3 linked regions of the Coturnix japonica genome follow. The protein of the gene in region 1 binds, or shares a complex with, the protein of each later gene. Links are inferred from orthologs where the notes say so. Each region holds a gene or a part of one and is shown in the gene's direction. Other genes may lie near its edges.

Region 1 (4,580 bases):
CAGAAACCAAGTTAAATAAATAGGGGTCACACTCCCCGTCCTGCACTCACTGAAAGCTGTGCTTTCTCCCTCCCTGCAGCCGGGCTCTCTCCGAGCTGTGCTCCCCATGCGCAGTGTGCAAACACACAGCTCCTTGGCTTCCCACCAGTGTATATAAATATATGCAGTTATTTTTTTATTTTTTTTTTTCCTTCGCAAAACCTGGAGGCTAAAGCGAGAGGGCAAAGGAGTACGTGACTAAAACATCCAAACTTCCTCTTTCATAAGCCATCACATGATGCAGTGCAATTACAATTCCTGCCTTGTCCCTGCCAATTGCAGGCGCATTGCCTCACCCGACAAACCCGGCTGTGCATGTGTGTGTGTGTATATGTGTGTGTGTATGAGTGTGGAGGCAGCAATCGCTGCAACCGCCTTGGCACGCCTCCATCTCCGGGCTGGAGAAAGAGGGCAGTGGGTGGAAGACGAAAACAAGATGTGTTTACTTAGCATGCAGGGATAAAGCGACTTTCCAGCCGGGAGGGGGTGCACGGAACAGCCTTACAGCGCTTTGATGCTACGAGAAAGGAGGGCCGCGCTGCGGAGCCGCGTTAACCCCCGCCTGGCCGTGGGGCACGATCCGCTCGGGGCTCTCCCGGTGCCTGAATCGCATCCCAGGTCCGCAGCCCCGGGAGCGCCGCAGGCACCGCCCCGCCGAGCCCCGCAAACGTCACAGCTCCCCCGGGTGTCCCCGCTGCCTGCTCGCCCCCCCTTCCCTCCCCCGTAACCTACATAACGCGGCGGGGAGGGCCGTGCCCGCCTGCGGGACGTGGCGAGGGGGACGTTGCCCCTCGCGGTGCCGCTGTGCGGGGACGGAGCGGAACGCCCGTGCCGTGCTTGAGCTGCGCGGGTTGTGCTCGTCCGCCTTAGAGAGCGGAGGGTTTGTGGTTGCAAACGACAGGAAATCTCGAGCGTCCTATTTCCTGCGTGCAGTGACAACAGTTAGAAAAAAAAAAATAAAGAAAAAAATAACAATACGGGCGATGGTTTTATTTACCCACGACGCCCCTCCCGCCCGGGCCCAGTAGGGGACGGGGGCAGCCCCAGGGTCACCGGGGGGGGGTCGGGGGCGACCGAGCTCAGCGACCCCGCGGCGCTCAGCCCGCACCGCACGCGGTGACCCCGCCGGTGCCGAGCGGGAGGCTCGGGGCCGCGCTCAGCCCGCTCCGCTCCGCGTGGCCGGCGCTGGGCTCCCCCGGCGGCGGGCGGAACCCCCGGGGCCGGGCCGGGGGCGCGGGCAGAGCCGGGGCCGGGAGCGCGGCGGCGGCGTGGTTGGCGTTGTTGGGGCGGGGGCGCCCATCGCGCAGGCGCGGCGGCACTGTCGAAGAATCGAGGCGGCGGCGCGCAGAGGCGGCGGTGGCGGCTGGAACGCGGCACGGCCCCGGCCCCGGCCCCGGCCCCGGCCCCGGCCCCGGCCCCGGCCCCAGCCCCGGCCCCGCCCCGCCGCGCCGCCCCGTAGTAGCCAGCGAGCGGGGGAGCCGTGCGGGCGGCAGCGGCCGCAGCCCTGCGCCAGGCGCGCCGCGAAGATGCGCGTCCCCGCCGCGCTGTGAGCGCCGCCGGCGGAGACGGACGAGGGAGCGGCGGCCCCCGGAGCGGCTCCGCTCGCCGGGGCGCGGAAGAGGAAGGCGAGGGGGAGGGGGCCGCGCCGACGGTCCCGCGGCGCCCGAGCCGCCCCGTCGGCCGTCCGGTGGCGAGGGGCGGAGGAGGAGGAGGCGGCGGCCGGAGCCGGAGCGGGGGGCGCTCGCCGCCGCCCCGGGGCCGGGACATGTCGTCGGCGGCGGTGGCGGCTGCTTCCCGCAGGCAGTCGTGCTACCTGTGCGACCTGCCCCGCATGCCCTGGGCCATGATCTGGGACTTCACCGAGCCCGTGTGCCGGGGCTGCGTCAACTACGAGGGCGCCGACCGCGTGGAGTTCGTCATCGACACGGCGCGGCAGCTGAAGCGGGCGCACGGCTGCTTCGCCGAGGGCCGGGCCCCGCCGCCGCCGCACGCCAAGCAGCCGCCGCTCTCCGCCAAGGAGCTCCTGGCGCAGCAGCAGCAGCTCGGCCACCCCGCGGCGGCGGCGGCGGCGGCAGCGCCCCCGCCGCAGCCCCAGGAGCGCCACCCGCTGGCCGCCGAGCGGCCGCCGCCTCGCCTGGGCGCCGAGTACGGCGGCGGACGGCAAGTGAACGGCATCCTGGTGCCCAACGGCTTCCCCAAGCCCGAGGAGCCGCCCGAGCTCAACCGGCAGAGCCCCAACCCGCGCCGGACGCACGCCGTGCCGCCCACTCTGGTGCCGCTGGTGAACGGCGCCGGGCTCCCCGCCGCCATCGGAGGCCTGGGCGGCCGAGCCGCCGCCGCCGCCGCCTCGCTGGCCGCCATCTCGGCCGCGCCCGCCCCGCTGGCCGTGCCCGTGCCCCAGCAGCCGGCGGCGGCGGCGCAGGCGGCGGCGGGGCAGCCCGGAGAGCTGGGCCACAAGCGGCCCGGCTCCGTCTCGTCCTCGTCGTCGGGCGGCGGCGGCGCGGCGGGGGAACACGACGGAGGGAGCAAGGAGAAGCGCGGATCGGCGGAGAGCGTGCCGGCCACGGCAGAGATGGGCAACGACGGCAAGAGCCGGGCGGGCGGCGAGGAGTGGCTGGCCAAGCCCAAGACGGTGCGGGACACGCTGCTGGCCCTGCACCAGCACGGCGGGCACGCGGTGCCGCCCTTCGACAGCAAGTTCAAGAAGGAGCCGGGCATGGCGGGCGGCAGGATGCTGGGATACGAGAGCAACGGGGCCGCGGCCAAGCCGGGTGAGGAGCGGGACCGGGGCGGGAGGAGGGGGGCGAGTGCGGGGCCGGGGCGGACGGGGCCGCGTGTGTGCGCGTGTTACGGTGATCTGGCACGTTTCGGTGGCGGTGCTTGGCCGCCTTGTCGCCCCTCTGACTCTCTCCCTCCCTTTCCAGGGGCCCGCGCAGCCCGGAAGAGGAAGCCGTCCCCCGAGCCGGAGGGCGAGGCGGGACCCCCGAAGATCAACGGGGAGGCGCAGCCCTGGCTGCCGGCCGCGTCCGAAGGGATGAAGATGCCGCTGACGGCCACGTCCTTCATGTCGCCCCCGCCGCCCACCGCCTCGCCCCACTCCAACCGGACCACGCCGCCCGAGGCGGCCCAGAACGGCCAGTCCCCCATGGCCGCGCTCATTTTGGTGGCGGACAATGCCGGGGGCAACCACGCCTCCAAGGAGGCCAACCAGGTCCACTCCACCACCAGGAGGAACAGCAGCAGCCCCCCCTCGCCCTCCGCCATGAACCAAAGAAGGCTGGGTGCCGGCAGGGAGGTGCCGGGCCAGGGGGGCAGCGCGGCGGGCGGGCTGGAGCCCGTGCACCCCGCCAGCCTGCCGGACTCGTCCCTCGCCGCCAGCGTCCCCTTGTGCTGTACCCTGTGCCACGAGCGCCTGGAAGACACCCACTTCGTGCAGTGCCCTTCCGTCCCGTCCCACAAGTTCTGCTTCCCTTGCTCCCGGCAGAGCATCAAGCAGCAGGGGGCCAGCGGAGAGGTGTACTGCCCCAGCGGGGAGAAGTGCCCCCTGGTCGGCTCCAACGTGCCCTGGGCCTTCATGCAGGGGGAGATCGCCACCATCCTGGCCGGGGATGTGAAAGTGAAAAAGGAGAGAGACTCGTGACTGTGCTGGCCCAGCGCCGCCCGTCGCCCAAACTGCTCCGGTTCTGTATATATCTATAAATATATATATATAAATATATATATATCTCCAAGACAAGGGAAATGTAGACTTCATAAACATGGCTGTATAATTTTGATTTTTTTGAATACATTGTGTTTCTATATTTTTTGAAGACAAAAGGTATGTACTTATTATAAAGGCATTTCTTCTAATTCTCTTTTTTTTTTTCCTCCCGTCCTTCCCCCCCATCCCCACTCCCCTCCCCCCGCTTTCCCCCCTCCCCTTTTGTTATAGCAACTATTTGTTGTGCTTCCCTGGTGACAATTACTGTTCGATGTAGGCTGTGACTTGCGCTGCTTTTTTTAGAGCACTTGGCAAACGAGAAATGCTTCTAGCTGTATTTGTATGCACTTGTTTCCTTTTCCTTTTTTTTTTTCTTTTTTTTTTTTTCTCTCTCTTTTTTTTTTTTTTAATGCCAAATACACTTTCTGACATTGTAAAGATCGCCTTACTGTCTGTGATTTCCTTATTGCTGCCCCCTGCTTCTGTAGGGCTGGGGGCAGGCGGGCGCATGGAGCACTAAGGGCTCCTCCCGGGAGCGGCTGTCCGCCTCGTGTGGCCGTGCCGGACCCAGGCCAAAATTCCTCCGTGTTTCTCAAGGGAAGTTGCCTTTGGAGTAGGATGTGGAGAGGTGTTGGAGAGGCGCTGTTGAGTTATAGGGATTTCTGGGTTGGTTTGTTTCTGTTGGGGTTTTTTTTTTTCTTCTTGTTTTTTTTTTTTTTTTTTTTTAAGGCAAAGTTGACCGCAGTTCACGTGATCAGTTGTAAGATTACAGAACTACGCCTGTTGACCAATTGCGTACTCTAACGTGGAACTGTGATAGCCAACCTTATGACATGAT
Region 2 (4,686 bases), on another chromosome or scaffold:
TAGATGCTAAGTCTGCTGTGCCAGTTGCTTCTCACAACTTCTGTGGATATACACTGTATTCTGCAAGAGGGAAAGTTTTGTTTTCTTGTAGAAAAGGCAATTTTGTCTAACTCCACCTTAATGCGGACGCTAGCTGTCAAAGTATGTATTTGATCCCTCGGTTTTGACAACTGTGATTTATCTAATTAATAGAACCGCTTTGGTTTTGCTTTCCTTGCCTCAGAATACTACCATGGAAATGCATTCCTGTGTGAAGACTGTCTTTGCTTTCTCTATTAAAAGTGAATTTGAAGATCACAAAGAGGTTGAACTATCTCATCTGTTTAAGTGGGCTAATTAGAGTCAAATTTGATTTACTTAGATGTGAAGTCTACAGTGATTCAGAAAGATGTTATGTGGATTTTCAGTTACCTCTAGGGGATGCTGTTGTGTTAAAAGTTCCAGTGTACTAAATACATTATATACAGCTTTGGATATATATCTGCCTTATGGAAGAAAAGTGTGTGCAATGCTAAGAGAAGTACTTGAGATAATATCAGAGATAACATAGAGATAGTATGGCACACCACTAGTTGTGGTAGCAACTATCAGTGTATGGAAAAAGAAGTAAGAACTATCCTGGGGTGATGTTAATAACTATGCATGCCACATCTAACCTGTTGATGCACTGATTGATTTCAGCTCAGTGGAAGGTATCTCAGATTAGTGAAGCGTGTGAAGAACGGCAGATGGAACAGACTAGTTGGTAGTTTAAGTAGTACTTTTCAAAATGCTGTGGCAAAGTGCCTCAGTAGTGCAGTAACAAAGCAGAAGGATTCCCAAAGTGGAAATTAAAATTTCTTACTGATTCTCACTGACTATCTGCTCTCCTGTGTACCATTAGAATTCTCCTTCCCAGGAAGACAGGGAAGAATTGCCATCCAATTTGAAGAGGAAAGAGAGGTAGAGGCAAGATTAGGACTCCATTAGCCTTATTGTTTGTCCTAGAACAAAGTTCTCCGGGGTTTATTTCTCTGTTTCTGTCAAATCAGCCTTCAGGTGTTGATTAGCCACGGGAAGTTCAAGCCGATGCCTGCTAGGTTAGCACATGCCTTCCTCTATACAGATGTTCTGCCCTCTCCAGATGAGTCACACACATCTGTACAAGCAGCGCCAGCCTTTGTGGTCAAGGCTTGAACTGCAGAAGGGCTGACCGCATCCTGGGATGAGACCAACTGCTGTGGAAACCTCCATCATCTGCGGCACTTCATGTGGAGCTGTACCAATTGCTAACGATCCAAACAGAATTTCTGTTAACTAATATACCTGAAAAGAATCAAATGTAGTGACGAACTGATTGGCAGCAGTGCGTGTGAGCGCACAGTACCTATGCACAGAGGTAAACCATCAGTGTCACGTTTCCCTAACCAGCTGCTGTTCTGCTCTGCCACTCTTATATCACTGCAATAGTACATGGCAGTGCCTGAGGTCGTGCTGGGAAATACAGCAAAAGAACAGAGCTAAGGACTGTTCAGAGATGGCTGCGCCGTGCTGTGGTGGTGCAGCAGTCAGGCCGCTGCCCGCATGGAGGCCTCCCAGCAGCCGTGCCGCCTTCGCTTCCCGCTCGCGGTGGCAGCGCTGCTTCCTGTCAGGGCGGCTCTGACATGGCCCCTGCTGCACAGGCCCCTTCTGTGCAGGCTCTCCACCTCCTCCTGCTCTTTCTTTCAAACACTTAGTGCATTTAGAGCCTGATCTTGTACAGAAAATATCCCTGACATTTGAAGAGCTCCAGGGATTCACTGAGCATGCTCAGTCCTCCCCGCCTGATAGAGAGAGGAAGCTGGTTTACATACGAGTCATACCAAGCATAGCCTGCATGTCAGTGCAGTTAACTTGCAGCGGGCTGTGAGGAGAACTAGTGTGTCTTTGTCCTAGGAAATTTCCCTTGTTTCTGTTTGCTTTTTCTTTCTTTCTTTCTTTCTTTTTTTTTTTTTTTTTTTTTGGAGAAAGACTTGAAAAGTTTTCAGACAGTTTTCTTTGTACTGAAGGACGCAATATACTTTTAGTTTGTAAAAGTTTGGAAGGGGTCGTGTGTGTTTTAATCCTTCCAACTTTTCTTTAATATACTTTGTTTTGATTAGTGAAGGCTGGGCCTTGTGCTAGTGAAGTTTCGGGGGCCGGGAGCGTCCTCAGCACCATTCGCCTGGCTTCCATCTCCCTGAATCTGGGTGAAAGCAAACAAGCTGGTCTTTTTTGCTAGCCCAATAAATGCTATTTATGAAGATGGACCTGTTGAACTACCAATACTTGGACAAGATGAACAACAATATTGGCATTCTGTGCTACGAAGGTAACGCTTTCATTTCACAAAGCTCTTTTGTCGGGTGTGTTTTATGTTATTTGTAAGCGTGGATTTTCTTCCTGAAAGAAGATCTCTATGGTTGGTTTTAAGATAGCTCACAGTCTGGGTTGTTAATACGGCTTTGTTTAAGGGAAGGACATTTTTTTTTTTTTCTTTTTCACGTTAGATTTGTTTAAAGGACTGTGTTGCTTCTGTGTCTGCCAGGCAGATTGTTTGTTGGTAATGTCTGCAGCTGTGAAGGAAATAGTTTGTAATATGGGTGTAGGTATTAATTTACATTTCTGCTTGTAACCGTACCTAGCAGTCGGGCACCGCCGCTTTTAGGTGGGGGAGACGCTTTTATACAGTGTAGCTCGAAATAATTTTTACATCAATTCAGCAGTTGGGTCGCGAACAATGAAGAGTTTGAGTGCACAGCCGTGGGGCTCACAGAGGCGCCGTGCTGCAGAGCACAGAGTAGCCCATTGTTTGACTTCTCATTTCCTGCACAGCTCAGAGAAAGCCCTGGCTGCGAGATGCCTCCCCCTCCTCCATCGCGCACACCCCTCCTTTCCCAAGAACCACCCCACGCTCCCGTCCCCTGTGGAAAGAATTACACAACTAGTTGGAAAATGTAATTTTTTCTCTCTGCTGGACTCTGAATTTTACCTATGTTGTCTCCAGCTAATGTAGGTTGGCATTTGCTCTCCATTTTGTAAGCATTAATAGTCCTGTTTTGAAGTTGCCTGAGGTAATAGAGTAAAATAAGTTTCTTAATCTTAGTGGAGTTTTATCTACGTGCAGTTTGAAGAAGTGGTTATGGCTTGGCTTTGACTGGAAAGAAAGGCACCACAGAGCTAATTCGGCTTGGCAGTAGAACTGTTTTTGCTGTAGCCACACACAAGCCTTGCAGAAATCTTTCTTCTGATTCAGCAGGAACATTTTCCGTGTTCATTTGGAAAATAAACTTGCTGTAGTTGTTAGGGAAGAAACAATAAGGAGTACACATAGGAATAGAAAATGCCTATTCATATGTTCAAAAAAAGGACTAGGCCAGAGCTGAGCTTCTCTTTGGAAAATAACATCTTTTCTACCATTAAATCAGAATGGACACATTTCCTTCCTTTGGGAAATGGAGGAGTTTCTTATAGAACTGTTAATATTTGATTCTTTTGTTGTCGTTGTTCTTTCTTTTCCTTTCCTGCTCAAATATGGAGATAACTTGCTTGAATAAAGCTGTTTTAAAGAAGTTTGAGTTTTCATATCAGGACTGAGTAATCCAGAACTGAGATAGTGCAAGACTAGTTGAATTTTCTGGTTCTTTCCTACCTGTGTTTTCTCCATTATAGCTAGAGGACTAATTAAGAAAAGACAACTTGAAGGATCCTTTAACTTTTTGTTTCTCTCGTAGTAAGCAGTGCTTTGTTTGGAGTCAAATAACAACTTCTGATGAAGACCATGAAGTTTGCTTAAAATTCTGCTTACGTAGTACATGTTCATGAGTGTTTTGTTGACTGAAGCAGAAAAACTGTAGCTTTGGCTCACTACTTCAATTCATTAGAATTATGCCTAATTTTAATGGGTGATTCTTTCCAGATCTCCTTTTCCACCCTTTTCTCCATTAATTGTTATTTGAATAGATCTTTGCTTTAGAAGTTAAAAGCTGCTCAGAGTACTCTACTATAGCAGTCTTTGTTTAGCTTAAACATCTGTTGCTATTTTCCTTATTATGGAAGTTAACATTTTTAACACTAAAGTAAACATACAAAAAAATGAGAAAAAAAAAAGCAAAAATTCGGTGGTGTTTATAGTGAGGTGTTTATATCCCAGTGGTTTAAAAAGTATAAACAGTCACTGACAACATCTGCACTGAACTGTAAGGGTGTTTTAGAGATGCCTACAGATCTTCCTCTGCCGGAGTATTTATTTTCTAAGAGCTGTATCAGCTGTGATGGATCTTGTCTTTTCAAGGACGCTGCTGTAGTAGTAAGTAGACTGAGAACAAAGTGCCCTTTCAGACTCAATTAATTAGGATTTATTGAAGGTCATACTTGAACTACTTCTAAGTAGTTGTCTTCCTAAAAAGTACTTTGTACTTTTGCAGATGTAGACACAAATATATTCTGTGAAAATAGGATTGAAATTTCAGTGGAAAGAATTATGTGTCTTATCTGGATTCATATTATATGTATGGACCTATATCCTACAGGAAGTAAGTGAGATGACTTCCTTATTCCTTTATATTCTTTCCTGCAGCTCTCACTGTTACTTATTGAGAGAATATGTTTGTTGATGAAACATACTGTTGTCGTTTTATAATGTTTACTCTATTTTAAACTTCCACCTCCAGTCACAAGCCATTGGAA
Region 3 (3,902 bases), on another chromosome or scaffold:
CCAAGGTGCACTCATTTGGGTTCCAAGCTCTGTGCAGGAGAGCTTGGGACTGGCAGCTTGGTGGTACCCAGCAGCTGATGGTGAGCTATGGAGAGAGCTGGAGGAGCTTTCTTTGCTTCCAGGAGGGCTGGGATAAGGTTGTTCCTTGCTAAACTGAACTTTTATTCTTCTCTTTTATTTAATCTTAATAATATTGAGGCAACTGTCATCCACAACTGAGGTTGCTTGGGTTTAAAAAGAAGAAGAAAACAAGGTGGGGGTGGGGGGGAAAGCACTGTGTGTGTAATAAGTTGATCCGGTATAATGTGACATGTGACCTTCTTAGGGGATGTGCCATCTTACCCCACTTCATCGGCTTAAATGCAGTAGATGCACATAATCAGCTGGTACTCGGCTCTAATGGGATTACAGTGACCTGGGCTACGTGTATATGGTATTTACACTGCACGCCCACCAAGGTGCTTTTAGGTTAAATGAGAGCTGGGGTATGAAACCAAGGATTTGACCGTGTTACTCGGTGTCCTTAAACCACCTGCCTGATGGTGGCCCTGTCCTGCTGTGCTTTGCTCCTGCTGTGTGTCTCCATGTGATAACTGCTGTGGGACTGCAGTGTAGGGAGAAGCAGTTCTTAGAGCATAAGACTGCCTCATATTGTGCCAGGGAAGGTTCAGGTTGGATGTTAGGAAACATTTCTTCTCCAAGAGAGTGCTTGGGCACCATCATAGTTGTCTGTTGAGGTGGTGGGGTCACCATCCCTGGAGGGAGCATGGAGATGTGGCACTGAGAAATACAGTGGGGTGGGATGGGGTTGGGGATCTCAGTGTTCTTTTCCAACCTTAATGATTCTCTGGCTGATCATATGTAGGAAAGAGGTGTGAGTGCATCCCATCCAAAACAGAAAGTGAAAGTTCCCTAGTAGATTTAGTACCTGAATATGGTGTGTTTGGAATAACCGAGCAACACTGTAGGACTTTCCTCCTGCTTTTCTTTTTGCTATGGGAAAATGGCCCTTCAAGCTTCTGATGAGGGATGGCCTCCTGCAGTCCCCATGTGCTTCTGTCCTCAGGAAGGAGCTGCTTCTCCCCTTGTTCATGGCAATGAGGTTGGATCTGGAGCCTCGCAGCACCCAACACGTGCAGCAGCGTGGCAAGCCTGGGGAGCTGACCCTCGCCCAGCTCAGTGATTAGCAGGATTGTGCTGCTCCACGCAGCAGAAAGCTGGCCTGTAATTTGCAGCCCAGCTATGAATCAGAGTGACTGAAATTGCTTTTTGCAGCGGTGGGGAGGCGGGGATGGTTTGCAGGTGGGTGGAGGGAAATGCTCCTCTCCCATCTTTTCCCACACCAGTTGTGAGGCTCGTGCTCCAGCAGCACTGTGATTGCTGGGGGGAGGCAGATGCAGATTGTTTGCATCTCTTTTTCTTCCTCTTTTTAACCAGTTTCCTGTACACACATGAGCTGGGGCAGCATCACAGAAGGTCTGCATCACCAGTGCCTGTTGGTCCTGCATCCATACTCCCAACCAGGAAACCCAGAATCACACAGTGCTTACGATCCCATTAATGCTGGGTGGAGCAGCTATTCATAGCAAGTAATCCAGTGACCTGGGCTGCAGGCCACTCTGTGTGGGTTCTGCCCCCAGCCCCTGATGGTTTATTAGCTCTTGGCTTTAAAAATAAACCAGGATCCCTCGGAGCTTTATGAGTAGTTAGTTGTGCTCCGTGGTTATTCTTGGAGTGGAAGCACAATGCTGAGTCCACAGAGAGCTCATGATGTGGTGCTCAGCTCTCTGCTGTCCTTGCCTGGCAGCATCCCAGAGCTGGGAGAGCACAGCAGGAATAGGAGGGTCTTTCTTCATTATAGAGAGGATAAAGGCTGCAGCCCTTGGAGGTATCCCAGCCCCTCTTTCTGCTGAGCAGGTCAGAGTATGAAAAAGGAGGGGATGCTGGTGTTGTACAGAAGGGTTTCAATGGGGCTTCTCTGCTGCTTATTTATAATCCAAACCCTTGCACTGATTTCCTCAGTGCCAGTGGATCCATTGCTCTGCCTCTATGGCACAGGGCACCAGGTAGCAGTGCAGAAGCGGGGTCACAGGTGCTGGAGGGGATCTAATTAGTCCCCTTTGTCCTGAATTTAATGCTAGGCTCATTAAGGGTTCTGCAAAGTTAATCAGCGTGCCACAAATTGGATTTTAATTTTTTTCCCCCCTGGTTCTGCAACCAGAGCAGTGCTGCTGTGGGGATGTGGGTCCCATTAGTGTCCCCGCATTGGCGCTGTGTGTGTATGGAGGGTGTGGGTCTGGCCCTCGAGATGCCGTGTTTAAACTCATTTACCACATGATCAGGTTGATAATTAAATTCATGCGGATCCTGTCAAACCAGCTCCGGAGTTTAACACTTCACTTAAAGTACCAGGGTGCTGTAAAGAAGCAGCAGGAGGAAAAAAAATCACTATTCCCATGGGTGGCTGAGGCTAAACGAAAGAATCCTTCACCTGGCTCCCATCTCCAGGTGTTCCCATAACTATTGAGCAAATGGGAGTGATGAAATGGGCAGCTGGATGTTACTTGATAGGGTGGTTCTGGTTGGAAGGCATCATCCAGTTCCACGGGTCCATTTGGTTTTAGGAACGAGGAGTCCAATGGAAAATAGAAACAAACCTGCAGCCCGCACAGGGCAGTGTGATTAAAGATGTGCATGTTGGTTTGGGGGGTGTGTAATGGGGGGGTGTTTGCACCCTGTGGGATCGTTGCTGGTTTGCAGCTGTTGGGAAACAATGCCGTGCACGGAGCAGCAGGGCTGGGGGGAGAACAGGCAGAGAGTAAAATATCATTGCAAAGAGGAAGTGAAAGCACAGGCATGTGAGTATATAACTAGAAGGACAATTTATGCCCAGGCACGAGTGCAGTTTGACATGGGGATAATGAAAAAACGTAGGTCATTGTGGATGACTTAAGCCTTCACAGCTGAAGAAAATGTATGAAATGCGAGGAACATTACACGCTTGGCAGCTCTGCACATCTGCAGTAGGACAAGTGAAATACAGTTGGCCATTCTTTACCATAAACTGTGGTTGTAGGATATGCAGCACAGAGAAATTGTAATTACAGTGACAAGACAAATCAGTAATATTTAAATATTCATGAACAAAGTCTTGGACGATCAATCTATCTTTATTGTCCTTGCCTTCACTGCCGTAATAAATAAGTAGCTGGAGCTCTCACCTTTCATTCAAATGATTCTGAGTTTGGTGCTGAGCCCAAGTTCATTTATCAGGGTGCTGAGCAGCGCTGCGGGGCTGATGCAGGCAGAGGGCTCTGAGTGTGCAGCACTGAGCTCCTGCAGCCCCACATGCCTGCCATGGGGCTGACCCATATGTGCTTGCAGGTGACCACCCCTATGAATGCGAGTTCTGTGGCAGCTGCTTCCGAGATGAGAGCACGTTGAAGGGCCACAAACGCATCCACACCGGGGAGAAGCCCTATGAGTGCAACGGCTGCGGCAAGAAGTTCAGCCTGAAGCACCAGCTGGAGACCCACTACCGCGTGCACACGGGTAGGTGCCGGGATCAGGGCTGGCTGCTGGGGAGAAGGAATCATTGAATGCGTCAGTGTGGAGCTATTGTAAATAGCGGATCAATAGTTAGATCACTTTTGCTGTTCATTACTTCATTATTCGCTGTGTCTGTGCACAGAGCAAGTATCGATATTGGGCGCGCTGGGCAGTTAATTACTGTGCTTGAGCGAGGCCCCGCAACCTTGCACAGTGCTGGAAGCCCGTGTCATGCTGACCCTATCCCACTGACCCTATCCCACTGACCCTATCCCACTGCCCTGTTTTCCACAGGTGAGAAGCCCTTTGAGTGCAAGCTGTGCCACCAGCGCTCCCGGGATTACTCGGCCATG

The links.
Region 2: the proteins of IRF2BP2 (region 1) and VGLL4 are in contact, whole or in part, in a crystal structure (PDB 8YTF), measured with the Homo sapiens proteins. The link is inferred for Coturnix japonica from reciprocal best matches to the Homo sapiens genes IRF2BP2 and VGLL4. Residues at the interface, in NP_892017.2 of Homo sapiens: Thr516, His517, Phe518, Val519, Gln520, Pro522, Phe531, Leu557, Trp564, Ala565, Phe566, Met567, Glu570, Thr573, Ile574; in NP_055482.2 of Homo sapiens: Arg161, Ser163, Val164, Ile165, Thr166.
Region 3: the proteins of IRF2BP2 (region 1) and ZBTB16 are in contact, whole or in part, in a crystal structure (PDB 8YTH), measured with the Homo sapiens proteins. The link is inferred for Coturnix japonica from reciprocal best matches to the Homo sapiens genes IRF2BP2 and ZBTB16. Residues at the interface, in NP_892017.2 of Homo sapiens: Thr516, His517, Phe518, Val519, Gln520, Pro522, Phe531, Leu557, Trp564, Ala565, Phe566, Met567, Glu570, Thr573, Ile574; in NP_001018011.1 of Homo sapiens: Arg285, Ser287, Val288, Ile289, Thr290, Ser291.

Annotation. Positions count from the first base shown.
Region 1 is NC_029518.1:34,499,327-34,503,906, forward strand, and holds the start of IRF2BP2 (interferon regulatory factor 2-binding protein 2), read left to right. Parts: upstream 1-1,493; 5' UTR 1,494-1,804; coding exon 1,805-2,810; intron 2,811-2,963; coding exon 2,964-3,679; 3' UTR 3,680-4,580. UniProt on the Homo sapiens protein: Acts as a transcriptional corepressor in a IRF2-dependent manner; this repression is not mediated by histone deacetylase activities. Represses the NFAT1-dependent transactivation of NFAT-responsive promoters.
Region 2 is NC_029527.1:2,993,377-2,998,062, reverse strand, and holds the start of VGLL4 (transcription cofactor vestigial-like protein 4), read left to right. Parts: upstream 1-1,821; 5' UTR 1,822-2,247; coding exon 2,248-2,329; intron 2,330-4,686. UniProt on the Homo sapiens protein: May act as a specific coactivator for the mammalian TEFs.
Region 3 is NC_029539.1:3,817,332-3,821,233, reverse strand, and holds part of ZBTB16 (zinc finger and BTB domain-containing protein 16), read left to right. Parts: intron 1-3,384; coding exon 3,385-3,552; intron 3,553-3,843; coding exon 3,844-3,902. UniProt on the Homo sapiens protein: Acts as a transcriptional repressor. Transcriptional repression may be mediated through recruitment of histone deacetylases to target promoters. May play a role in myeloid maturation and in the development and/or maintenance of other differentiated tissues.